Linked DNA regions of Diceros bicornis minor. The protein of the gene in region 2 purifies or fractionates together with the protein of the main gene of each other region. This does not show direct contact. Links are inferred from orthologs where the notes say so. Each region holds a gene or a part of one and is shown on either strand. Other genes may lie near its edges. The genes, in order: DPF2, SS18, SMARCC2 and BCL7C.

What was found.
Region 1: the proteins of SS18 (region 2) and DPF2 purify together in Homo sapiens (affinity purification with mass spectrometry; 4 studies listed by BioGRID and IntAct, counting the BioPlex papers as one, with this or other methods). This does not show direct contact. The link is inferred for Diceros bicornis minor from reciprocal best matches to the Homo sapiens genes SS18 and DPF2.
Region 3: the proteins of SS18 (region 2) and SMARCC2 purify together in Homo sapiens (affinity purification with mass spectrometry; 3 studies listed by BioGRID and IntAct, counting the BioPlex papers as one, with this or other methods). This does not show direct contact. The link is inferred for Diceros bicornis minor from reciprocal best matches to the Homo sapiens genes SS18 and SMARCC2.
Region 4: the proteins of SS18 (region 2) and BCL7C purify together in Homo sapiens (affinity purification with mass spectrometry; 3 studies listed by BioGRID and IntAct, counting the BioPlex papers as one, with this or other methods). This does not show direct contact. The link is inferred for Diceros bicornis minor from reciprocal best matches to the Homo sapiens genes SS18 and BCL7C.

What each region holds. Positions count from the first base shown.
Region 1 is NC_080770.1:7,847,537-7,854,550, reverse strand, and holds the start of DPF2 (zinc finger protein ubi-d4), read left to right. Parts: upstream 1-4,003; 5' UTR 4,004-4,063; coding exon 4,064-4,095; intron 4,096-7,014. UniProt on the Homo sapiens protein: Plays an active role in transcriptional regulation by binding modified histones H3 and H4. Is a negative regulator of myeloid differentiation of hematopoietic progenitor cells. Might also have a role in the development and maturation of lymphoid cells.
Region 2 is NC_080755.1:21,352,171-21,359,793, reverse strand, and holds the start of SS18 (protein SSXT), read left to right. Parts: upstream 1-4,611; 5' UTR 4,612-4,703; coding exon 4,704-4,772; intron 4,773-7,377; coding exon 7,378-7,454; intron 7,455-7,623. UniProt on the Homo sapiens protein: Appears to function synergistically with RBM14 as a transcriptional coactivator. Isoform 1 and isoform 2 function in nuclear receptor coactivation. Isoform 1 and isoform 2 function in general transcriptional coactivation.
Region 3 is NC_080756.1:12,582,694-12,590,435, forward strand, and holds the start of SMARCC2 (SWI/SNF complex subunit SMARCC2), read left to right. Parts: upstream 1-4,724; 5' UTR 4,725-4,777; coding exon 4,778-4,888; intron 4,889-6,911; coding exon 6,912-7,031; intron 7,032-7,651; coding exon 7,652-7,737; intron 7,738-7,742. UniProt on the Homo sapiens protein: Involved in transcriptional activation and repression of select genes by chromatin remodeling (alteration of DNA-nucleosome topology).
Region 4 is NC_080765.1:21,104,635-21,112,403, reverse strand, and holds the start of BCL7C (B-cell CLL/lymphoma 7 protein family member C), read right to left. Parts: upstream 3,004-7,769; 5' UTR 2,849-3,003; coding exon 2,757-2,848; intron 2,225-2,756; coding exon 2,146-2,224; intron 1,823-2,145; coding exon 1,714-1,822; intron 1,621-1,713; coding exon 1,459-1,620; intron 1-1,458. Other genes in the region: CTF1 (cardiotrophin-1), read left to right, coding at 5,429-5,453, 6,611-6,729. UniProt on the Homo sapiens protein: May play an anti-apoptotic role.

The DNA.
Region 1 (7,014 bases), on a different chromosome or scaffold from region 2:
CCTTGTAGTTCACTTGTTCTCTCTTCAGCCATGACTCATCTACTTTTTAACCAATTCATTGTGTTCTTAATTTTGGTTATTGTATTTTTCAGTTCCAGAAGTTCTATGCGGTTCTTTAAAAATTCTGTTGTGGCACTTCTTACTAGGTATTTGTTCCCTGCAGATATTTTTATGCTCATCTTTTACTTCTTTAAACATAGTAAGCGGTGTTATTATATAGTCGGTATCAGATAATTCCAATATCTTAAATCTTTGTGGGTCAATTTGGTTTTCTATTGTTTGTATCCATTCTTACACAAAGTTTCTCGTTTCTTTGTGTGCCTAATTATCTTTGATTATGGGCTGGATAGTGTATCTGAAAAAATATTGTTAGAAATAATTTGAGGCCTAGGATGACAGTACATTCCTTCACAAAGGATGTTGCTTGGTACCAAATATGCTTGCGTCTGCCGGCTTACTAGGGACATTATAAAGATGGGTCTACTTTAATCCAAGTTCAAGGCTCGAGCTTCCCTGGACCACCCAGATAACATGATTCTGGGCTACATGTCCCTCTTAAAGTGTGTATATGTCTGTGGTGGGGTATCTGACTTCCTACCCTGGTCAGGCTCTAGGTTTTAATTTTTTACCCTCTCTCCCCAAAGACTGCCAAATAACAGCTCAATTTCACAGTTATATCTTCCAGATCAGTAAATGCCCCCAGGACAAAATTTGCTTTGAATTCTGGGCTTATCTTTCTGGGTTTTAGCCTCTAAATGTTGGTCCAGTAATTCTTCACTTTATCATTAACTTTTCAATACTTTTAAGATTTGTGTGTGTGTGTGTATGAGGAAGATTAGCCCTAAGCCAGTATCACATGCCAATCCTCCTCTTTTTGCTGAGGAAGATTGGCCCTGGGCTAACATCTGTGCCTACCTTCCTCTACTTTATATGGGACGCTGCCACAGCATGGCTTGATAAGTGATGCGTTGGTGGGCGCCTGGGATCCGAACCCGTGAACCCCGGGCTGCCAAAGCGGAATGCGCACACTTAACCGCTATGCCACCGGGCCGGCCCCTAAGATTTTTTTTCACTTTCTGTTTTTCAGTTTGTCTTTAGTGGGAAGGTTGGAATTAAATACCTAACCAGGAACCTGTCTCCCATTAACTACCTGAACGTAACATTAAGAAGATTCCCCGGGTTTCATTTCTATTTCCCCCTGCCCCCACTGAGGAATAGCAATCCTATTTACCCTTGACGATTAGAATAAGCCCAACCAACAGTGGTATCCCCTTTTCACTTTCTTGCCTTGTGGCATGTGGAACGCAAAATGGCCCATTGGCAGTCTCAGCTCCTGTTTTAGAAGAATCATTACTGTGCCCCCTGGTGGAAGCATTCCTCTCCTGGGTCCTAAAGGCTCTAGATCAGCCAGAGCCCAGAGCTGCAGGAGCAGGAAACAAACATTTTGCAGAATCGTTAGTTGAGATTTCAAGAGGCTGGACCCTACTTCCACTCCTTGGTTCTCGTCTGCAAGAGAAACACTATATATACTGGTCACTGGTTCAGAGCATGCGGAGTATCTATTGTTCAGTGATGTAGCACTTCTTAAAAGAATCCTGAAAGAACTGAAAGCCACTGAGGTTGGGCTCATAATCTGACTTTCCAATTATATATAACTAGCCTACTTATTATTACTCATATTTTTATTGAAATATACATACAGAGAAGTACACAAATCTTGTGTAGTTCAACGTTTACAAAGTGAACAAACCTGTGGAACCACTACCCAGATGAAGAAAAGGAACATTACCAGCACCTCAGTAGCCACCTCATGCCCCTTCATTGTCACTATCCTCCAAAGGTAACCACTCTCCTGACTTCCACCCCCATAGACCAGTGTGTGTGTTTATGTAACTTTATAGAAATGGAATCATACAATATATGTCCTCTTCTTACAACTGGCTTCTTTTATTCAACATTAAGTTTTTGAGATTCATTCATGTTGTTGTGTAGCAATAGTTTGTTCCTTTCATTGTCGTTTAATCCATTCTACTGTTGTGGGCATTTGGGTTGTTCCCAGTTTGGGGCTATTATAATTAATGCTGTTGTGAACATTCTTGTACATGCTTTTTGGTGTATATATCCACGAAGGGAATTGCTGGGTCACCGCATAGGTGTATTTCAGCTTTAGTGCCAGCGTACTGTCTTAGTTGGCTTGGGCTGCTATCACAAAAGACCATAGACTCGGTGCCTTAAACAACAGACATTTATTTCTCACAGTTCTGGAGGCTGGGAAGTCCAAGATCAAGGTGCCAGCAGATTGGGCTCCTAGTAAGGGTCCTCTTCCTGGCTTGTAGACATCTGCCTTCTTGCTGTGTCCCCACATGGCCCTTCCTCGTGGAGAGAGAGAGATACCTGTCTTCCTCTTCTTATTAGGGCACTAATCCCATCGCGAGGGTCCCACCCTCACAACCTCATCTAAACTGAATTACTTCCCAAAGGCCCCACCTCCAAATACTATCACATTGGGGGATAGGGCTTCAACATATGAGTTTGGGGTTACACAAACATTCAGGCTATAACGCAGACTTTTGACTCCTGCTTGGGAGTCACCTCTGATACCCTTTGTCCCTACAATCATTTGGTTCCCAGGGGTAGAAGAGTGTACCAGTGTTGTCTCTGGGTTTTTCTTCCAAGCCACCGACACCCACTCTGCAAGTTTGGTGCAGGGTAGGCAGTGACAAATACCTCACAACTCCCATCTGCCAAACAAGATTATAAGGCACAGTGATGGTAAGACGTGTCCTGATTCTGAAATATTAAAATGGGGGGAGAGGAAGGAATATGTGCATTGTGGAATTTATGAAATAAGGTATATGACACGGACAAAGGACAAAGCCTTGGGGACTCTGAAAGTTATAGGTGGAACAGAGGATGGAGAGCCAGCAAAAGAAGCCGAAGGCACTGCCAGCGTGACAGGAGGACAGCTGGGATAGTGTGTGTCTCACAGACCTGGAGTGGAGTTTGGAAAAGGAGGGAAGGGTGAATGGTGTCACGGGGCTTGATAGGCCAACGAGGACACAGAAGAAATCTCTAAATCTTTTGAAGCAGAGGTGGTGGTGACTTTGTTAGTTGTTTCAAGTGAACTGGTGGAAACAAAATTCCCATTAAACCTGGGCAGAAAGAGACTTGGAAATAAGTCAACAGAGATAGGGAGTATAAACAGAATATTTGCTTTAAAAGAGTGAAAAGAAATGGGGTGATAATTGAAGGCAGACATTGGCTAAAGGAAGGGCTCTGATTTTTTTTAAGGAGGATATTAAGCCATGTTTCTACATGAATTTGCATGATTCAATAGTGAAGGAGAAATGAATGGTACAGGAGAGAGAGGGATAATTGAAGGAGGGAATGTCTTCAGAACATAAGTGGAGGGAAGGAGCTTAGAGAGGAGTAGGAAACAAGGGAGAAGAGGTAGGTACCAGAGAAGATGGTGGCTGGGTTTGGTGGTAGGAAGGTGAGGTAACTTTTGTCAGACCCCAATATCTAGGGCAAAGAACTGCCCAGTTCTGGGGGTTAATTTTCCTCTCCCTAAAACGGACATATGTTTGGGGGCCCAAGTGGACTGTGCACCCCTCTGACCTTCGCTACCTGCCAACTCCCGCCTGTGAGTAAGGGCAAAAGGTTAACCAGGAGGTTAAGGGTGGGCCAGGTACCAAGACGCACGCATGCGCTCCACGTAGCCCATCTCGGCCTGCCAGTTTTCACCAACCTCTCGCCCTCTCATTTCTGGACCAGGCCACAGCCTTGCTCCCTCCTCCCGCTCCTCCAAATGTAAGAGGTGGGGCTCGAGCCGGAGCCTCGGGGCGCGCACCCGTGTCCGCCGCGCCTGCGCACCGGGCTCCTCGGCTCTCTGGCCCCCGCGAACAGCCCCTAAGCTCGTTCTCCGTTGCTCGTTCTGGGGCGCGCGCGCGCCCCCAGGCGGCGCCTGCGCAGAAAGACAAGGAAACTGGTTCCCCGGAGGGGTCCCGGCGCCTGCGCGCTGCGGGCTCCGGGCCTCCCGGCCTGAGGGAGAGGAGCAGGGAAGATGGCGGCTGTGGTGGAAAATGTAGTGAAGCTGTGAGTGGTCGTTTCTTTTCTCTTCTCGGCCGGGAGGTCTGGTGAGGGGCTTGGGAGTAGGGGGCGGTGCGGGAAAGGACGAGGCGGAGAGAGGGACGTGACCGGAAAGGCCGCGTTGCGACTCCTAGCGGGGAGGGCAACAGGAGACTCCGGAGAAGACGTTGCGCTTCTTTGGAAACTTGTGGAGGCCCTGAGGGGGGCACACGGGAGCCCCTGGCGGGCAGCCCCCTGCGCCGTGCGGGGCGGGGCGGGCTCGCGGTGTCCGGAGTATGGCACCCTTGCTGCGTATGGGAGACGCGCGGTCCCGATGTCGCTCCCGAGACGCCGAAGTCCGAGTAGCCGGGCCGAGGGCGGCCCGGGACCGACCCCTCCCCGTCGGCCTCCCGCAGCCGGCCCTGGAGCCCCAGGCGCCGTGAAGCCCTGCGGGGTGTTTTGTTTAAACAGCCCCGTGACGTTGGGGGGGCCGGGGGTCTTGGTACCCAGGACCAAAAATATTCTTGGGAGGAATTGAGGAGCAGAGACAGAAGGGAAAGAACTTCAGGGGAGCGGACCTTTGCGCCTTCCCCTCCCAGCCATCCAAACACGGGACCGGGACGGAAGCGTCCAGGGCGCCCCTGCAGCCTGGGGGAGCAGCTGGGTCGGCCGGCCTCGCGCTGTGCAGTCCCCTTGGGCTGGGCAGATCGCGAGCCAAGTTGGTGGTGGTTGGGAAAATGGAGAATGGTTGTGAGCTGTGAGTTAAAGACGCTTTGGGACCTGATTTCACCCAGCCCCCTCCCCGAAGGAGAATCTGAATGAGTTCTGAAATGGGTTCATGCCCCATGGGCGAATAGAGCAAGCGCCTTTTCATGGGTTAATTGGGCTTAGTGTTGGGGTAGGAAAATTGAGAGGTGGCTAGTTGTCCAGTCGGGGCTTCTGGATTTTGACCGGATGACAAGGTAAAGGTTTGGGAATTCTTCTAAGGGTCTCACCGCTTTTCATCTGCCTTCGTGTTAGACTGAGCCCCACTCTTCCCAGGAGCCTTTTTTAAGAGTACATTGCCTCCTCCCCTCCTCCTGCCTGGAGCCTTTTCTTTGAGAATGCTTTCCCACTTCCATTAAGCTAAGTGCCTTCTCCTTCTCCTCTTGTGGTTTTTTTTCCTCCTGCTTTCAGCTCCATGCTGCTGCCTCTTTCATCCCCCTCCTCCCAACACTATTATCTTTCTCTCTGATCTGCCCACTCTAGTTTCCCCAGCTCTCTCTTCAGGCTGACATTTCCCTCAATTTAGAAATGACGCTGTTGATCTACCGTTTATATAGTTATCCTTCCTGACTCAGATGTTCTTTCTTTGTTTCCCTGCCTTTCTTTTTGTCGACTCCCCCCATCCCGTTATAAGGGGAGGTTTTACATGGGTTTCTTGCTTCTCGAAAAAGAATCAAAGCTTTAACCTTGGAAATCTTACTTTACTGGGGGAACGTCAGACTTGCCTAGGTTTTGAGAGTTATATGTAATGAGATTCTTTCTGTTGGAAGACTTTCTTCAGGGAAATAGAGTTGCCAACTCTTTCTTGTAGTTTTAGCAGTGAGGGGTTCCCCATTTAAAGAAAGCATGACTTCTTATTTCTTTTTGAAGAGGTGTAGAGATTATGAGGGTCACTAGCCACTGGTTCCTGAGTACTGCACCGGTAATGAGAAACCAACTTTCTCCTCCTCAGTCCTAGCTGCAGAGGGCTGTGGACCTCAATTAAATACATTCTCCTACAGAATTTTCCCTTTAAGAAGTGGCTTCCATTCTTTCTGTACCATTCTCACCTTGGAAAGAGACGCTTTTCTGGCTTTCTCTTGATCATGGTATGCTTTGTTTTCTGACAGCTGAGATTATACGTTGAGGTCAGGACTACTAGCTCATCTTTTCTGACTTGCATCTTATTCTGGGAGAAGAATTTTCCTATTTGTAAATTCTCTGTCCCTCTCAAATGTGGTGTCAGAATTGAAGCAGTCTTTAAAGGGTCTTATTAGGGTAAAATAATAGTATAAAATACCTGGGGCTGCTGACTGGTCTTGAAACCTTCTGAGTTAGGTAGCAAGATCTAGAGGATAATGTTAGCTTGAAATTTCTTACGATAGGAGCCTTAAGTTTTTAAGAGCTCTCTCACACTGTCTTACCCTCTCCTCATCAGATCCTCTTCCGCCAACTTAAGTGTTTCATTCCCAGCTCTCTTACTCACAAGACAGTTTGCCCCACCTTCTGAAATCCCACTTAACTCATAAGAACTTGGATAGAACATCTGTCATCCATTCCCCACAAACTGTTTCCAGCCTCCTTGCTCTGATTTTGCAGCTCTCAGGCCGTCTGGTCCTTCCTTCCATTTGATTTCCAGTGTCAGTATCAATTCCCATCAGCAGAAACAAAGGAGCTGCTGCACTCAGCCTTGTTTATCCAGTTTTCCTCTGTGTGCTGAGGACATGGCTGCCTCCTAAAGGCGAGCAACTGTGAGCCTGTTCCCTTCTCTCCACTCTGCAACACAAGATTCATGCCTACCTCAGATTACAGTCATTACAGCTCATTGACTCCAGCCAGCATGTCTTGTGGTGTCACCACCTTGTGTGTGGTATGTGTCCTTTTCAGTTGCTGGGACATGCTAAGCTGTGCCTAAGTGGTCTCTTGTGGCTGCTCAGTGAAAGCCCCCCCTCGGATTCCAGAGCAGGGTTTGTTGGTGTAGCTCGAGTTATGGATGTAAGCAATGGAGGCTTACTCTGTGCAGCTTCCCATGCTAGGACCCTCCCTTTTATAGAATATGCCAGAGCTTATCTAGTCTAACCTCCCCAGTCTGTAGCAGAGGAACCTGAGGTCCACATGGATTGACTAAATGTCCATGTTTATGTGGTGACTTGCAGCCAAGCCAGGTCGCTTTACTCCCAAGTCAAGATGTTCCAGACACCT
Region 2 (7,623 bases):
TTAAATGGAAGAAAAACATCGTATTAGTTTCCTATTGCTGTTTTAACAAATTATTACAAACTTAATGGCTTAAAACAACACAAATTTACTATCTTACAGTTTTGGATGTCAGATGTCCCAAATGAGCCTCCCTTGGCTACAGTTAAGGTGTTCGTAGGGCTGTGTTCATTCTGGAGGCTCTAGGGGAGAATCTGCTTCCTTGTCTTTTCCGTATTCTAGAGGCCACCCACACTCCTTGGCTCATGACCTGCTCCATCTTCAAAGCCAGCAATGGCTGGTTGAGTCTTTCTCAAGATGCTATCTCTCTGATTATGACTCTTCAGGCTCACTCTTCCCCATTTAAGGATATTTGTGATTATACTGGGCTCATTCAGATAGTCCAGGTTAATATCTGTATTTTAAGGTCACCTGGTTAACCACCTTAATTCCATCTGGAACCTTAATTCCACTTTGCCATGTAACCTATCATATTCACAGGTTCTGAGGATTGGGAGGTGGTCATCTTTGTGAGGGTGAAATTATTCTGCCTACCACGCCCATTCATAGAGAAATTAGGGAACAATTTATAGAGAAATTGGTATATTATCATCCTCTATACATTGTGAAGTAGTTAAAGAACAGTTGTTATATTCTTTTACTAAAGGCAGAGTAACTGCACATCATGCACAAGGTCAGAGAACATGCTAAATGGGAAAAAAATCATTTGATCTCTAAATTATGGCCAGAAAATTTACCAAGGGTAGACTGCACTCTCCAGTACTTTGGACCATTTCTAGTCTTAAAGTATATATTTTTCTCCTTATTAGATTATTAGGTACAAATCTTATCCTCGTTTAGCAATTTATAATATCCCATGTGTTTGACACATTTTACCTGTTAAAATTGGGACAATCATAAAGAATGTAATATAAAATAATCACTTAGCACAGTGGCTGTGGATGATAAATGCTAAATAAATAATTAAACATCTTATTATTTCTAATAGCCTTTTAGATAGGCCAGCTGTTTTTCAGGAAGGCAAATGAAATACAGAAGTGACCTGTCCAGTATCATGCTGTAGGTGGAAGAACTGGGAACTCCAAACCTGTGCATTTTTCACAGGGAGTTAAGATAGCAGAGAATTTCACATAGAGACTAATTTTTTTTTAAAAGCAATACTTCCCTATAACATTAAACTCCCAAATATAATTGATTTAGCTCCTCCTTAATTCATTCTATGTTTGATACTGTAAGAAGAGATGGAAATGTGCCAGATAGGCTATTATTGTCTACTTTGAATGAAATCTTCTGGAGTATTGAAAATAAAGTCTTTTATGGATAATTGGGAAAGGTGATTTGTTCTTGCCTGAAATAATGATTATATAGAGAGATGTATGCTCTTCTCCTTATAGTCTTGAAATCTGTGGAAGCTACAACTCAAAATGACTCATCATATGCCATGGAGACAGTGAGTGGAAATATTTTGAAAGATATGACCTGAGGGGTTTTGCTCTGAGCCCAATTACGAGCAGACAGGCTTGGTCTATGCCTTCCCAATGTATTCTAAAAATAAATGGCAGCACAGGGGCTGAAAGTATCAGCAAATTTGACAGTAGAGTTAGTCTATTAATTATAAAACAATAAGTATTAAAGAAATGCTTGTATGAAAGTAATCTCAATTATCTGAAATGCATCCTATTTTTTTTGTGCATTAAGATAATTTTTAATGTCATGACTATATTGTTTCACTAAATGTTGAGCATATTCCTGGAGCACTTCACTTTATCAGTTCAGTGAAATACATTTGAGGAATAAAAATTCATGTAAAACAAAAAATTGAAACATTTGAAAATCAAATACAGCCAATTTTCTTATTACCTTTTTTTTGTTAAGTGTATCTACATTCATTAGTGTGAATAAATCAAGACTTAATTGTTCATGCAGATTATTTTACTTATTCTGAGCCATTGTATATCTTCTTTTATTAGGATAATTCTAAAAACCCTTTTACCTCTTCGTTATGTGACTTCAATTCCTTCTTCAGATGTCTCAATCCAAGAGCAGTCTAAATAACAGGACTGATTTTTCTGATTGGGGAGATGCTTACCTGGGTAGCTCATTTTTAAGTTCCCAGAGTCATTTCTCCAATTTGGGCTAAGTTCCCATATGCATTCTCCGTTTTCTCCTTACCTAAATCCTGGGGCCTCTTTATTCTCCTTTTCCTCTCAACTCTGCTACCACTTAACTTAATTTGTACTTTGGAACTCCTCTCTCCCGAAATAATGGTGAAGTGAGACAATATCTACTAGGTGCCCCTAACTATCTTTCCCCTAACTTGGGGCTCTTACAGTTACAAAGCCTCCAAAATTCTAAGAAAGTTCCTCCAGGCTGCAACCTTCCCTCTCCCTCTCTGAATTTTCGACTTGTCCAGGTCAAGCTGACTGATTGGGTTTATCAAGGAAGCTTGAGAGTAAGGTAGGGTCCTTTTAAAGTATCTTCTGTGAGGGAGATCATTTGTATTTCTGGCTGGACCTTTATGCCAATGCTTCCCATGTGATGGTATTTTTATAGCACATGTTATCACAGAAAAGGGTATGGTTATCCATGCCTAGGGGTTGTGGGTGCCCTAAGCCCTACCCTGCTACTTGGAAGGAATAAACACCTCAAACAGATCTGTTACCTATTTTGAATTGATTTTTTTTCTTGCTGTTGGGAAGCTGTAATTTAAACAAAAAGGTATCTATCTCTGGGTACCTGCTTGGAATATTTTTTTGTTGATATATAGAAATTCAGACAACTGTTCCTACTGGTTCTTTAAGATTGGGGTGCTATCTTCCAAACAGATAGAATTGGAGTGGTAGGTAAAATTATTTTTAATTTTTTCCTACGGAAATACTGTTCTTAACTACTAAGGCATTTTTGTGTAAACAGCGAGACATGATGATGAAAGCCAGGTGTTGGATATACAGTGTTTAGTGGTGGATAAGACTTAGTTTCTGTTCTGAATTCAATAGTTTTTCTAATTTGATGTAATTACATTGAGTTCAAATGTACCAGAGTGGTTTTTTTTCAAGGCTTAAGGTAGCAAAAGACAATTAAATTCATAAGAATAACTACTATTCGTAGGAGTATAAATTCTCTTCCCTTAATTCTTAGGATGGCTTGAGTCTTTTCATCCTGTAGGTCTCAGTTTAAATAAAAGACACAGGACTCCCACCCTAACTCATGTGAGTGCCCCTGTCATTCTCTCTCAGTCCCTTGTTTGCTAGTCTTTCTTAGAACTTTACATATATACCTGTTTGTTTACTAGTTTCTGGTCTGTGAGCCCAATTAGAATATAAGCTGCTTGAGAGCAGGTCCCATGTCCAGCTTGTTCACAGCTGTATCCTAGGTGCTTAGCATAAAGCCTAGAACACAGAGTGCATCCAAATTTGCTGAACGAACGAAACTCATGATCCTTTTGTGAAGAGCATTTACTTGAAACATAAATTTAAAAATATGCTTTTTTTTTAAATTTTTCCAGTTCATTTATATATAAACTGAGAGAATGATTTTTGAACCTCATTGTTGGGTCACGTTTAATATAAACTTTTCCTTTGTGTCCTATGGAAGTCTAAATTGACCGAATAATAAAACCCCACACCAACACGTTACCCATATTTGCCCATGTTCCTTCCATAATTTGAAAGCTTTTTTTTTTTCCCTCACGCTGATCTGAAGACTAAATTGGGCCTAATTTACAAGGCACTCTAAGTATATAATTGGAAAAGAAGAATGAGGATGCCCTATTTCAAAACTTATTTCCAAAGATCCAAGTCACACGAAATCGACCCACAGTTCGACTAAGGGTTTGTCCTAAGAGGCGCACTCTTCTCCTGTGGCCGCTCTAGCCCATTTGGCCGACTGCCCCTGAGTCCTGCACACAGCCTTCGTTTCCCGATTTGGGGTCAGGCTTACTTTGCAACTCTTAGGCACGACTGTGTGTGCGTGCGAGACTGTGGACTCGGAGGTGCGCGTTTGGGGCGTAGCCGAGCCATTTAAACCAGCGAATCCGCGTTCACCTAGTCCTTCCACCTCTGCCTCATCTCAGCTGATGCTTCACGGGTTTGCACGAACTCCCGGGTCCTGACCTGCCTCCTTCACTCTCCGGGGTGCCCGGACAACTCAGGGCGGCCACTTCTTCCCGGGAGGGGTGAAGCCGAAGTTGGAAAAACTGAACTAGGTCCGGGGCAGAGCGCCGAAGAGCAGTCGGAGGGACGCTCCAGCGCGCCGGAGAGGGAGGCAAGTTGCACCCGCGCGCAAGGGGCGGGCCGGCTCGGGCCGCTCGCATTTCCTGTGACAGGGGCTGCCCCAGCCTCTCCCTCTCCCGCAGCGGCGGGACCATTTCCTGAATCGCTGAAGCGGAGGGAGGACTGGGGCGCGGCCCTACCATTAGCGCAAAGGGACGGGGGGGGCGGGTAAGGAAAGGTTGAGGGACGAGAGGTCAGTCAAGAACAGGAAAGTTCTACCGGGGCCGTGGTTGCCAACTAACGCACCGAAAACAGGACGTGTGTGGGCCGGAGTGCCTCCTTTAGGGCAGACCGGCCGACTGTGCGTTCGGCACTGCAGCATCCCCCCTCCCCGCATTCCCCAGGTGGTTCAGCCCGAGAGGCCGGCGTCTTTTCCCCCAGTTTGCCGTTCTCCCGGAGCGCTCGGGACTTGCCGATAGTGGTGACGGCGGCAGCATGTCTGTGGCGTTCGCAGCCCCGAGGCAGCGAGGCAAGGGGGAGATCACTCCCGCCGCGATTCAGAAGGTGAACGCTTGCGGGGTCGGGGATGCCAGGACCGCTTGGGAGAGACACGGGGGGGAGTCGGCCGGGCCGGGGGCGGAGGCGGGCCTGCTGGGAGGCGGCGGTGTGTGGGAACCCGAGCCGCGGGCTGTGCCGGAGTGGTGGGCGGGAGGGGGCGAACTGGTTCTCTCACCGAGTCCTTCGCGCGTCCAGGATCTTTTCTCAGGGACAAAAGCCCAAGGAACCGCCGCCCGATTTCTCTAGGGATGGGGCGGCGTTCGGGCGGCGGGGCGCGTGCGCCCGGCGGCGGCCGCGCGGGGCAGGGCTGTTTGTGGGAGCGGCGCCCCCCGCGGCCCCGCGCGTCGCTCCGGAGTTACTTTGGCGTCGCCCCGCCCCGCGCGGCGCGGCCGCTCGGTGCAGACCCGACCTCCGGGCGCGCGAGGCCGAGGGAAGTTGGAGCGCTGCTCGCTCCCTCCCTCCGCGGCGCTGCAAACTCAGGCGGAGTTGGGGAGCTCCCAGGAGAGCTTGGGGGACGCTGCTGGGAACGGTAGTAGGGTCTCAGGGGCGGTGGAGGGAGAGCTCTGTGGACTTCGGGGTTACCTTCGGAGTCCACTTCTCCCTTCTGGTTGCACCCCTTATCCGTTTACATCTGCAGCTGATATTTATTGAGCGCCTAGTCTGGGCGCCGAGGCTACAGTGATGAGCCGTGGTCCCTGTCTTCATGGAGCCTACAGTCTAGTGGTGGGGACAGTCTGATAGTCGTGGCCAATTACAGAAGTCGTGGTACACACACAGGGAACTGAGTCCTTCTTAGAGGGTAGTGCTGCCTCTGTCGCTGCTGTGTTACTGCCAGTTAGAGCTACAAAGGTTCTTGATTGTCCTCCACCTCTTGTGGCCTGTGAGCAAGACAGCATTCTGAATTGTAGTCAGCCGGACTTTGAAAAGTTACTTGCTAAATTTAGCAGTTTACCTTAAATATTTCGATTTTGTTTTATGCACTGGAGCAAGGATGAAAATTGAAGAAAAGTCAGCTTTTAGTACCACTCAGGACACCATCGTATGTCCAGTAGATTATGTTAATCGGCTTCTGTTTACTGTCAGCTTCTTTGTCGTGTGGCATTTGACATTTGCCCAACTGTTGGGTTGTTTTATGAACAAACCCGCTTGGCAGTGCTTGGAGATACAGTGCTTTCATACAATGCATGGGGCTAAGTCTGCAGCTTGGCAGACAGCTCCAAGTACACACACGCAAAACATGTTTCCGGAGGGATTCGCTTTTTATTTTTATTTTTGAAGTGTAGAAAAGTCAGGAGTTATTTTTTTCTACGAGTTTTTCTTTCGTACGTCTTAAGATATTTATCTTGGGTGATTAATTCAGAAGATGCTGATCAATTTTCATCCTCAGATGAGAAGAGAAAATGGATTCCTAACTAAGTGCCTCATTCTAACAGTGTAAGGGATTGATGTTCGATATGAGACATTCTAACGGTGAACTTTGTTAGGTTGAGGAATCTACTAGAAGATATGTTGTGAGAATGTCAGATTGGACTAAAGCATTTTAAGGACAAATTTTTTGGCATCCAATGATTCTATTTAAGAAATAACTGCACTTTTTGGAAGGGCACGTTAATATTTTTTTTCCAGCAAGTGAAGATTATGATTCATATGCAGAAAAAAAGGCACAAAGTTAATGTTAAATGGATCTTCTTTTTAATTAAAAGAGTTACATTAACTGAATTATTGAGATAGAGTGATTATGGTATTGTACTTTATGCTTTCATTGAATCCTGGAAGGGAGAAGCAGGTTCAGGAGGAACATCTACTCCTGTCCCTTGATCTTACAGATAAATCTGAGCCCCTGAAATCTTAAGTGGGTGGCACATGATAGCAAAGCTGGCACTAAAACCAACCGGCCTTTTAATTGCTACATCAGTGTTCTTTCCTTAATTGCCACTTTGCTTAGATGAATTATTTAACTCTCAAAGCCAGTATTGCTTTGAATGGTTATAAGATGAAGAATGGTAAATTGATAGGCTTTGTTTTTAAACTTTTGGGACAACGTAATTACAAGGTAAGCTCATAAAGTCTGCAGTAAATATTATACATACATAGAAATTATTGTATTTGATTATTCTGTATTTGGAGGATCACAAAACGGTACTGTATAAAACTTGGAAACCAGGCAGCTATCACCTCAAGCCTCCTGGGCTGAAGTTTTCATGTATTTACTTCATTCTGGATAAGGACAGAATTTTTCTTTACTACTACAAAGCATTAGAATGATGCAAAGCCAACTTGGACTCTAATAATTTGGCTCTTAACTCTAGTCTTAACAGGCTAAAGCTTTTGTTACAGGTAGCAGAGGTAATTAAATGTTTGAATACAAAAGAGACTCCAAATTTTCCCTTCTGGGCTTCAGGTAATAATTCAGAGGGAGAATAATTGGAATAGAGTTAATAAAAAAAATGTTGATTAAACATGATATCATTCCAGAAGTTTAAAGTAAGATTTAAAGACCTCAGTGGATTCAGTTCCTGTGTAGGTAAACATTTCTAGAAATCTGAATAATTTTTTAAAATGTTACTTGATGCATTAGATTTACAATAAACTTTTTCTAATTTTATTTCAGATGTTGGACGAAAATAACCATCTTATTCAGTGTATAATGGACTATCAGAATAAAGGAAAGACCTCAGAGTGTTCTCAGTAAGATTGACGTGAAAATTTTTTTTGTATTCATTTTTCTGTTGGTTAATTTTTTACCTTTCTTTTTAATAACAGCTTTATTGAGATATAATCCACATACCATACAATTCAACCATTCCACCCATCACTCCAAAAAGAAAATCCTGTACCCGTTAGCAGTCACTCCCCA
Region 3 (7,742 bases), on a different chromosome or scaffold from region 2:
TGGGACCTTGGGGGAATTCCAGAAGTAATCTGGGACAAAAATCTGGAAAATAGATGCATGATAAAGTTGGTTAATGCTTCAGCTTTTTTTAAAAAAGTAATTTTGAAGAAATGAATCATTTAAATATGGCTCATAATCTGTGAAGGACTCCCAGAAATGTTTTGTGCAGTGACAGCATTCCTGAAACAAGTGCAGGTTGAGATCATTTCAGCTCAAGTCCTCTAATAATTTGCTTTACTGGATGAACTGCAGAGACACTTGGAACCCGTCAACAACTTGGAAGGGGATAATAAATTCTTGTCTGTTAGATTTCCCCCCCGTTAGCTTTTCAGTCACATAAAAGCAATTTTGATTAAGATCTAAGGATTTGTAGCTGAAAAGATCAGTATAAGGTGGCATTAGCTAGTCACTGGTTATAAGGTCAAGAAACAGAAGGAACTTCATGAAAGAAGGAAGGAATTAGGCTGACACATGGAGACACCCAGCCTAATTAGATTGGGGGTATCTTACTGGGAAGAATTAGGGATTTTAAAAAAGAGGTGATTTAGGCAGGGTGTGTTGATAACAGGAACATGTGTTTGATCAGATGGGGCGGTGAAGTTCCTAGACGGGAATAATAGGAAAGCAGTGTTTAGAGATTTAAGTGTGAAACTGGCGCACCTGGAAGGCCATTGTAACAAAAGCATGCATTAGATGATGTGATGGAGGAAGCAATGATTGATGAATGATGGGCATGGGAGGAAAAATGTCAGATAATTCTTAAGGTTGGAAACTACATGGAATTGAGAAAATAGTATTAACAGAAATGGAAAAAGTTGAGCATGTGATTCTGGGAAAGGAAGAGAAGTTTTGTTTGCATTTTAGGTGACCTTAAGTCAGCTGTGGAGACATATACATAGGCAGCTGGAGATAGAGGACCACAGTTTGGCTGAGAGGCCATGCCTGGAACAGTGGCTTAGGATTTTTGTCTTGGGAGGAGGGAGAAGAATGAAGCTTTGGTAGAATTCCACAGAAGGAGAGAGAAAACAAATGAGATGGAGAAATAGTATTCTAAGAGAAAAACAAGAGTACAGTGTCTCTACAGCCCAATAAGAAATCAATGGTTTCAAACATAGCAAAGGTTTCTACAAGAGAGATTAAGATAGTATGGAGCTGGAGGCAGAGGTAGACATTTTACTCAAAAAATAAAAGGAAGTAGAAAATAACGTGGTGATTTGGAAGTGTCAAATGCAGGTGTAATTTTGTTTGTTCTGAATTAATGAAGGATTGATCCAGTGGAGTAGGGGAATCTGAATGTGTTATGGAAGGATATTTATGGAAGGTTCTCTGGGAGGTTGAAATGAGTGGGATTGCAAGCCCAGGTGGAGAAGGTAACTTCAGGTCAGATGAACAAGGCCAAATACTGAACCAGTAAGTAAAGAATGTCAGTGGATGGAATGTAGTAAACATGTAAGAATGAGGAGAGAGAGAAGGGTGCTCATGCAACGCAAAGAACGATATAAGGATAGATAGGATTTGTTGGAATGGAAAGGGAAAGGGTGAAGGAATTGGGGAGTTGGGGTGGGCTGTAGGGATGGTAAAAATTTGAAATTATCTATTGTACATGAAGGTTCGAGGCCTTGGCCTCTCATCCCCGAAAGTTACAAGGGAAGCATTTGAGAGCGAAAGGTAGGATCTCCAGGTACCAGGCAACCTCCATCAGCTTCTTTTCCGTCCAGGTCCTCCATTTTATACACCTTGGAGCCGGCTTCCTATCACTACGTAATTGTCGGTTGCCCTCTGCTGGTCGATTTTAGTCTTGGCTCTCCAGAGAGTTAAATCTGAGAGCATGCGCAAAAAGGAGTACCGAGCCTATTAGGTTCTATTCGTTCATTCGGTACATATTTGATTACATCCATGTGTAAGGCCTAGTAGGGGAGATACGAACAAATAAAATACACAATCCTAACTCTCAAGAAGCTTAGAGTCCAGTCCGCGTGAAGATTAAAACACGTACACAGAACTACTGTAGAAAACATCCATTTATTCAGCAAAGATTCTTTTTCAATTGAGTGGCTTATATATGCCAAGAGTTTATATTCTACAGGGGAAGAAAGACTTCACATAATAAGATTAGGACGTAGGATGTGGCGGGCGACAGGTGGTTGGAGAAGACTTCCTAAGAGAACTGATATTTAAGTGGAGACTGAGTAGAAGGTGAGGATGAGAAAGATGATTTCAGGCCGAGAACGGCATGAAGACGGACAAATACTACACCGGGAACTAAAAGAATGCCAGTGGACGGGATGTAGTGAATACAGAAGAGCAGTGAGAGACAGGGACCAGGTCACGAACCACAAAACGCAGCCATGGAGGGGCTGATGGTCTCTGGCTACAGTGCGGATGCTTTCGTGCACTTTACATCTGTTGATTCATGTAGTCCTCACAACTACCCCTACTTTCCAAATGAAAGCTCCAGCAACTGGTAGGTCCAGCCTGCACTCACCCCTGAGAAAAGTGGACAGATTTGAGACATATTTAGGAGGTAGAGTAAATATAACTCGTTTTCATTTTGTTAATTTTTGCAGAGGTGTGTCAAAGGAAATGACTTGCAATGCAACCGAGTGGATGGTGGTGGTAGACGGATAGGTTCCAGCTGGAGTAATTCAGAGCCTCAAAGAGGAGGGGTCCGGGGCCAGCCTGGTGGCCCAAGCGGTTAGGTGTGCTCCACTGCGGCGCCCCGGGGTTTGCCGGCCTGGATCCCGGGCGCACACCCATGCACCGCTTGTTAAGCCATGCTGTGGTGGCATCCCATATAAAGTGGAGGAAGATGGGCATGGATGTTAGCCCAGGGCCAGTCTTCCTCAGCAAAAAAGAGGAGGATTGGCATTGGATGTTAGCTCAGGGCTGGTCCTCCTCACAGAAAAAAAAAAAAAAAAAAAGGAGGGGTCCAAGGATGTGCCAGATGGAAAGTGATCACAGTAGGGGGGTGGGGGTGATTTGGAAAGAACAGCAGGAACAATGGTGTAAAGCATAGAAAGTTCTATGAATTACCCTTGAACTCCCTGCCTTTTAGGGATCTTTCCTGGAGAAGACGCTGCCGTGCAAGAAATGAAATACAAAAAGAACATCCTACATATTCCCCACAATCAGAAACTGGGGGATAGGAAGAATGGGGTGAGGTTGGAGGATTAGAGGTTGGTGGAGAGATTTATTCCCCAGCTTGGTTAATACACAATTTAGAACAGTACCTGGCACACAATGAGTACTCAATAAAAAGTGACAGTGATCTTCCCACACTAGAGCTCCAGCTAGACCTGCAGTGTTTATGTTTCAACAGGCTACTCCCCCCAGCCCTGCAGTACCTGAGGCGCACCTCCTCAAGGAAATCCAAATGAGAGAATGCCCTGTTTCCTGGGTCTTCACTGTAATCAGACCTACAAGATGTGACTGCTGGTCATGAAATCCAGAGGTGTCCTCTTCTCCTGGAAACTCCAGTTTTGATTATTATAGCACAACAGGCAGTCACATTCCCAAATAAAACTTAACCCCTCTTCAACCAAATCCTTTCCTATTCCCTCCCAAAAGAATGAAACAACGGATGCCAAAGCTCTGCTCGCAAACCTGAAGTTACAGAATTCTGCAAGTGCCTTGTATCCTAGCAGCCAATACAGTTGTGCATAATTAAGCTTCCCGTGATCACTCCCATCCCCCCAAATCCGAGAGTGAGACCTTTCGGCTTCTATTTCCGAGACAGAAAGGGAACTGCACGAAAGACACACGCGAAGACAAGGAGTTCCCTTTACACGTCCTCAAAGGGAAAAAAAAACCGGCCGTCACGAACAGGATTCGAACCTGTGCGGGGAAACCCCATTGGATTTCGAGTCCAACGCCTTAACCACTCGGCCACCGTGACTTCCAAAACCTCCTTCAGCCGCGCGCTTACAGAGGGGTCCGCACTGCGACCGGGGGAGGACTCTGGCCCAAGTCCTGCACACACCCCATGACCTCCTCCCGCCCGCTCCTTACCTCTCCTCCACGCCACTCGGGGAAAGTCCGGTGGACGGGTGACCCAGGGAGGGAGGGTCTCCCGCCCCTCGAAGACTCAGGGTCTCAAGGAGGGCAAAGCTCTTTAGGAGGCGATGGCGAGGCCTGCAGAGGAAGCAGTCGGAGGGAAGGGGCTGGGCCTCCAGGGTGGCGCCCGGGGGACTCCTCGGGTTAAGGGCTGAGAGGGGGTGCGGGGTTAGGGGCGAGGGAGACTCGGGAAGAGTTTACACGGCGAGCTCCTGGGGATGGATGGAAGGCAGGAACTTCTTGGGGAAAGGGTCTGGGGGTCCCTGGGATTAGGGGCTCCGCGGGCTCAGGAATGTGCAAGGTGAGGACCACTCGGAGCCATGGGCTGGGGGCTCCTCAGGCGACGGGCGTCCCCCTGGGGTAGGATAGAGAGGTACCCTACTCCCCGGGCTGAGAGGCGAAAAGAGCCAAAAGGCTTCGCGTCAGGTCAAGAGCGACCTCAGAGAGTGTGCGCCCCCTCCAGGAAGCCGCCAGCTCCCCAAGGCTCCTGCCGCCGCCGCCGCCACCGGGGAGGCCGCCAGGGTCGGTCCCGCGCCCGGCGCTTCGCCGCCGCCACGCCCGGCCGGCCGGCAGGGGGCGCTGCGAGGGCCGGGGCCGGCCCAGGCAGCGGGAGGCGGCGGCCGCGGCGGCGGGAGGCGGCGGGAGGCGGGCGGAGGAGGAGGCGGAGGAGGCGGGAGCTGAGCTGAGCGGGGCGGGCGGCGGCGGCGGGCCCGAGCCCGAGAAGATGGCGGTGCGGAAGAAGGACGGCGGCCCCAACGTGAAGTACTACGAGGCCGCGGACACCGTGACCCAGTTCGACAACGTGCGGCTCTGGCTCGGCAAGAACTACAAGAAGGTACGCGGGCAGGGCCGCGCGGGCCCGGGGGCGGGACAAAGGACCGGCCCCCGCAGCCCCCGGCTCCTGCCCACCCGCGGCGGCCCGCGGCCCCTCCCCCGCGGCCTGCGGAGCGGCCCCCGCGCCCCTCCCCCGCTCCCGCCGCCGCCCGCCGGCTGGGATCGCAGCCCCCGCCCGCGCCGCTGCGCCCTCTGCCCCTCGTTTTTCTCCCCTGCCCCCGCGGGTCCCGTGCCAGCAGCCCACCCTCCCTTGAGCCATCGCCTTCCGGGCTTTTCCGGGAGAGAGGCCGCGGGTGGACGGGGTGCAGAATGGGCGTCCCCCTCCCCCTCCGAGCGTGCCCGCCGCCGTGCCCGCCGGAGCTCCCCGCGGAGCCAGGTACCAGCAGAGCTGAGGCCTCCCTGGTGCTTTGTGTATGTTCGGAGAGAGATGATGGGAGCCGGAGGGTAGACAGCCACGGAGCAGGCCCTTGGCTGCTCATCAGCCTGAAAAAGGCCCCCACGCTGGGATCACCTGTCTCTGCCTCCGGTCCCCCACGTCCATCCAAGGAGTAACAAAACCTCTTCGGGAGCCAGGCTATAGGAGTTGCTGGGCAGCGACTCCTTCTTAAACCCTTCTTCAGCTTCACAATGAAGTCACCCCACCACCTGGCCTTGCATTGCTTTGGGTTTGGGGTTCAGAGGCTAGGACACGCTGTATATCTCTAGCCCCCCACCCGATAACTGGAGATAACCAGGTAGTGAACAGAGCGTTGGAAACACCTTACCTGTCTTTTCCACCAGAGCTCTTGCTAGTGCTGTCTTTGTCTTTCCGCCTGGTTGAAAGGAACATCTACACATAAGATTTTTCTCTGGAGAGAGTCTGCCTCTCTCGCTTCTACCACCCCCCGTTAGGGGCTCTCTTTCTGGCTTCCCTTCAGCTCCCCAGTTCTTGCTACTGAGCTTTGCAGCCTGTCAGAAGTGTGATGGGTGGTTGAGGAGAACACCCCTCTGATCCTGGTTCTGAGCCTTGCCTTGTTCACGGAGGTCTCTCTGGGTGTCAGCATCCTGACAAACAGCTGCTGGGTCTGTGGCTTGTCTGTATCCCAGCGTGAGGCTCTGGTTGCCAGGCTTCTCCCTTTGACATTTTGGAAAGGAGATCAGTCTAGGGGCTTAGTCTCTGGCCCTGGGGGGATTGACAGCCTGTGACCTGGTTCAGCTTTCAAGCTCTTAGCTCTTTGTCTTGTACCTTTTCCTTCAAGGATCTGTTTCCACCTCCCGCTGAGAGGAGCACTCCTCTCTGTGATGTGATTAGGGTTGAGGAAACAGGGGTCAAAAGGCAAAGAGAAAGTTAGCCTCCTGGCTCAGTTTTAAATTGGAACAGAAGGCTAGGATGCTAGGTAGCATAATACAGAAATGTTTAAGAAGCCCAGGGTTGCTTGTCTCGGATATAGTTTCCTCCGACAGGACAGATGTTGTCTTGCTCTCTTCCCACTAGGCTGGATAGTAGCTAGTCCTTCCCATCTTTGGGGGGCGGGGGCTACAAAGAAGCTTGTGCTGGGTCCTAGCAGAAGCAGAATGCACAAGCTCACTCTCTCAGTCTGTTTGCCCTACTCGCTTCCTTGTACCTTTCTTATTAGGCTACATTATAGGGGAAATCTTGACCTTCCACAGAGTTACCCCGAGAAATACACCATTGCCTCGAAAGTGTGGCTTCCATGGCCTGAACTCCACGAACCTTCAGAATTTCATAACCCTCAGTGCTGTTGGCTAGAGATCAGGGTCATGCAACTCCAATTTCAGGAAGCAACCCTTACCCCCAGCACCCAACGCTGGCCCCCTAGGCTGGGGGCAGCAGAATTTCAACTTCCTGGTGAGGGGCATCTAGGGCCTCCCTTCTCCTATTTTCCTTTGGACACTAGACATGTGGGAGAAGACAACACTATTTTCTCTGCCCCAGATGCTTCCAGAGTTCCTGAGGAAGGAATAAGGGAGATGGTGGACAATTTATCTGGGGTCTGTGTTTCTCTCTTTCCTCTGTCTCCCAGTATATACAAGCTGAACCACCCACCAACAAGTCCTTGTCTAGCCTGGTTGTACAGTTGCTACAGTTTCAGGAGGAAGTTTTTGGCAAACATGTCAGCAATGCACCACTCACTAAACTGCCGGTGAGTACAAAAGCAAGGAGGCGAATCCTCCCAACAGGAGAGGGAGTTTTGGTTTTTTTTGGAAATTTTATGATTTTTGAGATTTGGGTCATTTCCTACCATCCCTGTATCTGGTAGGGCATTGTTGGCTTGGCTTACTCCCCAGTTTACCATTCCCATTTTCTTAGTAATACTTTGTGCAGTAATACTTTGTACAGGTTATCTCAGAGAGTCTGAGCTCCATACATGAACTCCCGTGGCATGGTTAAAAGGGGATGAGATTTGGATTTTCACGGGCCTGTGTTCAAATCCTGGCTCTGCCACTTGATGTCTCTGTGATCTTGAGCAAGCCATTTAAACCTTTTGAGTCATGGTTCCCTCATCTCTCGATGAGATTAATGTTTCTGTAATGGTTAATGAGGTAACCCAGCAGAGTACTTGGCACAAAGGTGGGGCTTTGTGAATATTGGTTTCTGTCTCTCCCCTCTTCCAGGCCACATGGTACAGTGGCCCAGGAGTTAAAGCATTCCAGCTTTGAGAGGGAGACCAGTTCAGCATGGGATTTTGTGAAAGGATTGTTAAGTAATAAGAGAATTTAGGGTGTAACTCTCACATCCTTCTTTCCTGTCTCAATTTTGTAGATCAAATGTTTCCTAGATTTCAAAGCGGGAGGCTCCCTGTGCCACATACTTGCAGCTGCCTACAAATTCAAGAGTGACCAGGGATGGTGAG
Region 4 (7,769 bases), on a different chromosome or scaffold from region 2:
GAACGTCAAGTTAACAGACATTCCCTGAGCAGCCGCTCTGTGCCATAGCGCAAACCAGGGGGAAACAAACACCAATCACATAAGCCCACAGGCTGTGGGAGCACTGAGGAGGGAGCCAGGAACCTGGCTGCAACCCAGGAGGAAGACACAGGAATAACATTTAGGTGGGATCTTGACAGGTGAGTAGAATTTGATCTGGCAGACAGATGGGGAGGTAGAGCACATTTTAGGCAGAGGGAACATTTGCTTAGCCAGCACAGATTGTGGGGCTGGACTGCCCAGCTTCAAATCCTGACCTGACTTAATTTCTCTGGGCCTCAGTTTTCCCATCTGTAAAATGGAGATAATGATAGTAATTACCATGTGAGGATTAAATGAGAGAATACAGGTAAAGCCCTTAGCACAGTGTCTGGCACGCAGTTAGTGCTCAGTAAATGCCAGTTACTGGTTTTATGTTAGCAAAGGTATACACGTGCCGGGCACAGTCTAGATACAGTCTGTAGGCCCAAGGCATGGTGTTCCTGGAAGGGAACAATGAGGTCAGCAGGGGACAGTTCAGGAAGGGCCCAGAGTGCCAAGCTGCAGAGTCAAAGGCCATAGGGAGCCACTGAAGGCTCTGAGCAGGAAAATGACCCAGTCGAACTTGTGCTTTAGTTGCTCTGGCAGCTGTGCTGGGGCGACTGGAGGAGAGGAGACCCATGAGGAGGCTGGAGCCAGGAACAGGTGAGAGAGATGACAGCCCGGGGAGGGAGAGGAAGGCAGACATATTTGGGAGGTGGCACTGACCAGACGGGTGATTGACTATATGGAAGAAAGAGCAGTGAGGACGACTCATGCCCAAGATGCTGGCTCATTGGCTGTGAGCTTAGGCAACTCACTTAACTTCTCTGGGTTTTGGTTTCTCGTCTACAAATGGGGATCATAACAGGATTATAACCCTCAGAGGGTTGTAGTGAGGATTAAATGAAATAAAACACGTAAAGTGCTTAGAAGGGTGCCTGGCACACAGCAAGAGCTCAATAAGTAGTAAATGTTATTAGCACTTATTTATCACTCTTAGGATTATCACTATTATTTATTCCTCAACAAATATTTATTGAGCACCTACTATGTGTCCCAAGTTGTTCTGAGGAGACAATAGTGAACAAGATCAACATGGGCCCAACATTCAGGAAGCTGACATGAGGTGGGAATCAGAGAGAAAGACATTTAAGTAGTAAAAAGTTAAATTTACATGAAAATCTCGAATAGTGATAAATATCTACAGACCCTAAGAAGCCAGAGGAAGGAGACAGACAGTTGTCAGAGGTAGGGCAGTGACTTCCCTCGGGAGTCAGGGAAGGCCTCCCTAAGGAGGCAACACAGGATAGGGAGCAGCTGTAGGAGTAAGCTGGTGGCTTCAACTTTGGAGAGGACAAGACTCAGAAGAGAGGGCTCCTGGGAGGCAGCTGGTCCTACCTCTCTCCTGGCCCAGCCGCGGGGGCTGAGCGTCCTCCAGGACCCCTTCCGGTGGTCCGGCAGGTGACACAGGGCGGCTGGGCTGGGGGGTGCCCCCAGGGCTGGGCTCAGTGCCCTTTTGCAGGGAGCCTTCCGAATGGAAACTCTGGTTACTGTTCTCATCTGTGGGAGCAAAAGCCAAGAGGGTTGGGCCTGAGGCCCTCAGTCCCCTCACTCAATCCCCACAGCCCCCCAAATTCCAGGATCCCTACATACCATTGAGATCAAGCAGGATGAGAGGGCCACCCCCTCGGGGACTGGCACCCCTGCCCCGACGCTCCCGGCCTCGAGATCTCTCTGCCCCACCTCCTGCCCTCCGTCGCTCCTGGGGGTTAGAGGGTAAGGGTCAGAGCCAGCTTTCTAGTCAGTACTTGCAAAGCCCCCACTGTACAAATAAGCAAACTGAGGCACAGAGAAGCAAAAGGCCCTGCATGAGGTCACAGAGGTTGTGCACACGAGGTTAGGTCTTGAACTCAGGGATCTGGAGTAGGAAGAAGGGAGAAGGGGTGGAGTTGCTAATAATTGTTAACATCTGTTTGGGCTGCTGCATTTGAGGTCTGAGTGGGGACTGGAGATGGAGGCCAGGGTGGGGAGGGGCTTGCCTGCTGTTGCACAGATGCAGGGCCTGGTGTGGGGGAGCTTGCTCACCTCCTCCTGGGGGTCCACCACTGGCACCCACTTGAAGATACGAAGGGAAGTGTCGCCCACAGTCACCCAGCGCTTCTCCCTGTGGGAGGGTGAGGGAATTGGGTCAGAGAGGCCTGAAAAGAGATCCCCCCCAGGAACTGGACACATCTGGGGATACCAGCAGACGTGTGGGTGGTGCACGAGGGAAGGGGCAGTTTTGCTAATAGGGCATAGTTAGAGGAAGAAAGAGAGCTCTGCAGACCCCAGGACATACATGGGCCCAATGGGCCATGGCTCTGCAGACCCCTGGGGTATACATAGGGAGCGCGGCCACGGGCCGGCTGGAGAGGGTAGCAATGAAGATCCCGGGGCATACTTGCGGGAGGAGTGTCAAAGCTTTAGGGGGCGGGGCATATATGGGGGCTCTTGCTCTGGGAGGGCATGGCTGGGGAACACGCTTTGTACACCCCAGGGTGTAGCCAGGAGAAAGGGGACACAGCCCTGTAGATCCAGGACGCGGCTAGGGGGCACACCTAACAACTGGGGGCCACAGCTGGCGAAAGGAGGGTAGACGCATTTGGGGAAGGAGTGGCCCCGCCATGCCCCGTCCCCGGCCCCGGGGCAGCGCTCACCATCTCCGGACCTTCTCGATGGTCGCCATCACCTTCTTGATGTCATCCTTGGCCCGGCTCCGGGTCTCGGCCCGCACGGTCCGGCCGGCCATGCTGGCGGGGCTGGGGCCGAGGCCGAGCCCGCGGCTGGGCCGCCTCCCGTCCGGCGGGCTCAGGCTCGGCGCCAGGCCGGGACGCCGCTCTCTCGGCCTGCCGTCCCTCCGGGAGTTGGCCGCGCCCTCCCTCGCTCCCCAAAGCCTGCACGAGTCCCCGCCCCGCTTCCTGCCGCCGCGCCCCGCCCCGGCCCGTCCCCAGAGCGGCCCGGCGGCGCGGGCGGCCAGAGCCCAGGCCTGGAAGCCGGCCGGCCCCGCCCCGACCGGGCCCGCCCCCTCGGGGCGCCCCGACGCGCAGCGCCCCCTGCCCGCCGCCGAGAGGGAGGTTGGGGGCAGCTCGAGGAGTGGACGAGAGCGGCAGGGCTGAGGCGGTGCGTTCAGACCACGTGGACGCCGGGGGTGGGGGTGGGGGGTGCGAGACGGTCTGGGTACCGGAGCGCGTCCGCTGCGCGTGAGTGTCCTTGAAAGGCTGTGTGTGTGTGTGTGTGTCCACCCCCGCCTGCCCGACTATTCCTTCATCCATTCTTGCAACTATCTATTAACTGAGTGACGATTGCGTACCAGACACTGCAAATATGAGTGGGTCTCCACCCACCAGAATGACTAAAATGAGAATGACGGACCATATCAAGTGCAGGCCAAGAAGTAGAGCAACTGGACCTCTCCTATTTCTGGGGGAGTGTAAATTGGTAGTTTTCTAGTGGAGACGAACATACACCGACCCTATGATCTAGCAATTCCACTCCCAGGTCGTCAACAGAAATGCGTAGGTATGAGCACCAAGAGAGTGTACTGGAATGTTCATAGCAGTATTCATATTAGCCTCAAACTGGAAACAACCCATCAACAGGAGAGTGGAAAATGAACTATAGCTTGTTCACACCATGGACACAGCAAGAGAATGATGTCCTGCTACACCCAACCACAGGGACAAATCTCATGAAAGAAGTCAGATTCAACAGTAAACATTGTATGATTCCATTCATATGAAGTTCAAAAAAAAGGCAAAACTAATTTATGGTGTGAGAAGTCAGGATAGTGGTCATCCTTGGGACTGGGAGGGGCTGAGAGGGGGCTCGGGGAACTGGTCCTATTCTGTTTCTTAACCTGGTGCTGATTCCCTGGGGATGTTTACTCTGAAAATACATTGAGCTGTACACTTACAATGTGTGCGCTTTTCCCTATGTATATTATACTTCAATTAAAAGTTTACTTAAAATGTATCTTGGTTGATTTTGAGGCTGTTTGCCAGCAGATATGACATGTCTAAGTTTGTGTTGCTGTGTGTGCATGTGTTTAGCTATTACGTAGCTATGGTGTCTGTGTGTTTTGGTGTGACTATGTCCAGAGGGGTTAAGGTATAGGAAGGTGGTTATGACAGCATTTCTGGAGCCAAACTGCCGAAGTATAATCCCAGCTCTGCTTGTCCAGTGACCTTGGACGAGTCACTTATCTCTATTTCCTCAACTATAACATGGGACTGAATTAATATGTATATAGCTCTTAGAACAGTGCCTTGCATATTGTAAATACCCAAGAAATAGTCACTGTTAATAAGTGTGTGATTGTGGCCCCTACCATCAGTTGCACCTGCTGTGCCCTCTGCCAGTTAATCTCTTTCTTACTTTATTCTGGCAGTTGTCTGCTCATGGCAATATCCTCACAGACACACAGGCCTCCTTCCTAGTCCCTTCACTCACAAACCTCATTACCTGCTGTTGCCTATGGTCTCCCCCAACATTCTGTGAGCTCCTCAGGGGGCCAGAGACCAAGTATGGATCATCTCTGGGTCCCAGAGCCCAGGACAGAGTGGGTGCTTGGGAACCATCTGTGGGGATAAGTGTGTTTGCACCAGGTTAGTGGGGTTGACATACAGGTATGACCCCCTGTACCTGTCTCTTAAGCTTGTTCCTGTGTGAGAATGAAGGTCTGTATGCATTAATGCTTCAGTAGGTGTGGGTGTGTCAGACGGGTTCTCTTACTGGGCCTGGTAAGGTGAGGTGAGGTGAGATGGTATCTGTCTCCCTCCTAGTAGATGTGACAACGAGAAGGAGGGCAGAAGGTATCTAAGACACGCCAGGAGGTGTATGCCGGGGCAGGTGTGGCCCAAGCCTGAGGGCCCCCATCGCGGCCTCTCTCACACCCCGTTCCTCCCTCCCCCCCAGCCAAGAGGAAGGGCCAGCACATTCCTGTCCTGCCAGCCCCGCCCTCTCCTATCCCCTCAGCTTTTTCCCATAAGCAGCCCGGGGGCCAACCTTTGCCCCAGGTCGGAGCCTGAGCCTCCTCCTCCCGACGTGACGCAGGTCTGCCTCCCAGGTCCCGGCACCCCCAGCCTCGAGGTCCCGAGTCAACCATGCGGACAACCTGCCGCCCTTCTCAGGCCCCTTTCCCAACTAGGCCGCGCAGGCAAGGAGCTGAGCTCAGGGCCAAGGAATCCTGTCTAAGGCTTTGGCGGGGGAGGGGGATTGTTTGGGGTCTGAGCCCTGATTGGCTGCGTCCGGGCCACGCCCCTACCCCTTTTCCCCTTCTCCCCCCTCGGACCGGGGGCGTGGAGGCAACCGGGATCAGCCAGGGGCCAGCATGAGCCGGAGGGAGGGAAGTCTGGGTAAGGGGCTGAAGGGCCAGGTGCCAAGTTCCCGAGGGGAACAAAGGTCAGAAGGGCCGGAAGCTGGGGTCTGGGTCCCCGCCACCCCCGGGTCCGGGAAGGGAGCAGCCTGAGCGGGGGAGAGCAAGGCCCCGGTGTCAGGGTAACGAGCAGATGAGCTGTGGGTGAGCTGTGGGAAACAGCAAGCGCCAGAGTTTAGAGGTAGAGGAGGCCTGGGGCTGTGCCTTCAGGGAGTTGGGCTCAGGAGTTAGATCACCGGTTCGAGTACACCCTGGGGGAGGACTGGGGTCGTGGCTGGGGCAGGACGCCTGGATCTTCTCCGAGTATTGGGAAAGAATCGGAGCTGGGGGCCAGAGGGAGGGGTAGGGTTAGGGGAGGAAGTCTTTGGGCCCCAGGAGCTAGTGAATAACAACAGGAGACGAAAGTCGAGGCTGTTAAGGATAGGGACTGGCGGTGGGAAACTCAGGTGGGGGCGGGGGGCGGGGCGGGAGTTGCCAGACCAGGACTACATTCCCCAGCATGCCCTGGGCTCGCGCGCTGGGCTTCTCGGGAAATGTAGTCCTCCCCGCCAACACGTAGCTTGTGCTAGGGAAGGCCAGTTGTTGATTCATTGACGCTGCCCGGTGCCCAGCCCAGCGCCTTGCACAGAAGAGCCATCAGGGAGGGAATGGGACTTCAGTCTCCCAATCTGTAAAATGGCCTTGAAGGCGCATTCTGACTTGAATTCCACCAACAATCACTGAGCTACAGAGCTACCCTTAAAGGGCTGCCAGGCTGAGGCAGATTCACACAGATAAAAGAGCCATTAAAAGAACAACTTGGGAAGTGTGAACAAATGGCCTTAAGTAGAAGGAAGAAGTTAATTTAAGGGTGGGTTGAATCTGGAGTCTGTGCTGAGGAGGCAGTATTTGGATTTGGCTTTAATAGGATTTCAACAGTGATTTGGGGACAGGGAATACATTTCAGGTAGAACAACTGTTTGGCAAATATCTAGTACCTTATTTTCCCTCAGTTGGAATGGGCCAGAGCCTGCCTGGCTTAAAAGTTGGAATATTCAGAGCAGAGCTTCTGGGTTTGGGAAGGGAGAGCCAGCCTGGAAGAGGTGGTCAAGGAGCAGGGATTTGGACTGCCCTCATTCTTCCCCCTTTTCCCACCAGAAGACCCCCAGACTGACTCCTCAGTCTCATCCCTTCCTCACTTGGAGGCCAAGATCCGTCAGACACACAGCCTTGCCGGCCTCCTCACCAAATATGCTGAGCAGCTGCTCCAGGAATATGTGAGTGGGGATGGGGGTGGGAGTGCCAGGGGCCTGGAGAATAGGGAAGTACAGATCACAGGGATCCTTGACCACCCATTTTCTCAACCTCATTTCCCAGCTGCTGACATTGGGGCTCTGGAGAGGGATCAGTAACTTGTCCCTGGCCACACAGCAAATTGGAGGAGGACCCTCTCTGTGCCCCAAATGTCCCTCCATTCGCCTCAGCTTGGAGGCTCCCTCCTTGGTACTTTAAGACAGAGGGAACCTGAGAGAGTGAAGACAATTCTGCACTGGGAGGCAGGAAACCTAGGTTCTATGCTCTGTGTGATCTTGTCACCTCGCCTCCATGGGCCTTGGTCTCCCAATCTGTAAAAGGAGGCGGTTGAACAAGATGACCTGTGAACTCTTCTACCTGTGATATGCAGAGAGGCCATGAAATGGTTTCAATCTAGGGTAAAAATTCCATCCTAAGAGGGGACTTGTACAGAAGAGGGGGATCTGCTAAGATCTTTAGTTGGGCAGAGGGCTTTGACCAAGGAAAGAAGGTATTTCCCCAAATTGCTCTGGTGTGGTGGAGGGAGGGTATAGTTTTAAATGAGACAGACTATAGGCCTGCCAACTTGCTGTGGCCTTGGGCAGCAATGATAACATTAAAAATAATAATGTAACAATTATGATGCAGATAGGGTGATAATAGAATTAGCTTTGTAGTCCTACCAATTTTGGTTAGAATTCCAGCTCTGCCCCTTCCTAGATGGACGACCTGAGGCAAGTCACTCTACCTCTTCAGCCCCAATATCCTCATTTGCAAAATCATCATCATCATTACATCCATTATTGGGAAGATTAGGAATACCATAGTCCACCCTTATCTGTAGTTTCACTTTCCATGGTTTTGGTTAACCTCAGTCCAAAAATATTAAATGGAAAACTCCAGAAATAAACAATTCATAAATTTTAAATCCCATGCCATTCTGAGTAATGTGGTGAAATCTTGCACCCTCCCGCTTTGTCCAGTCCAGGACATGAATCATCCCTTTGTCTATCCATCTTTGTGG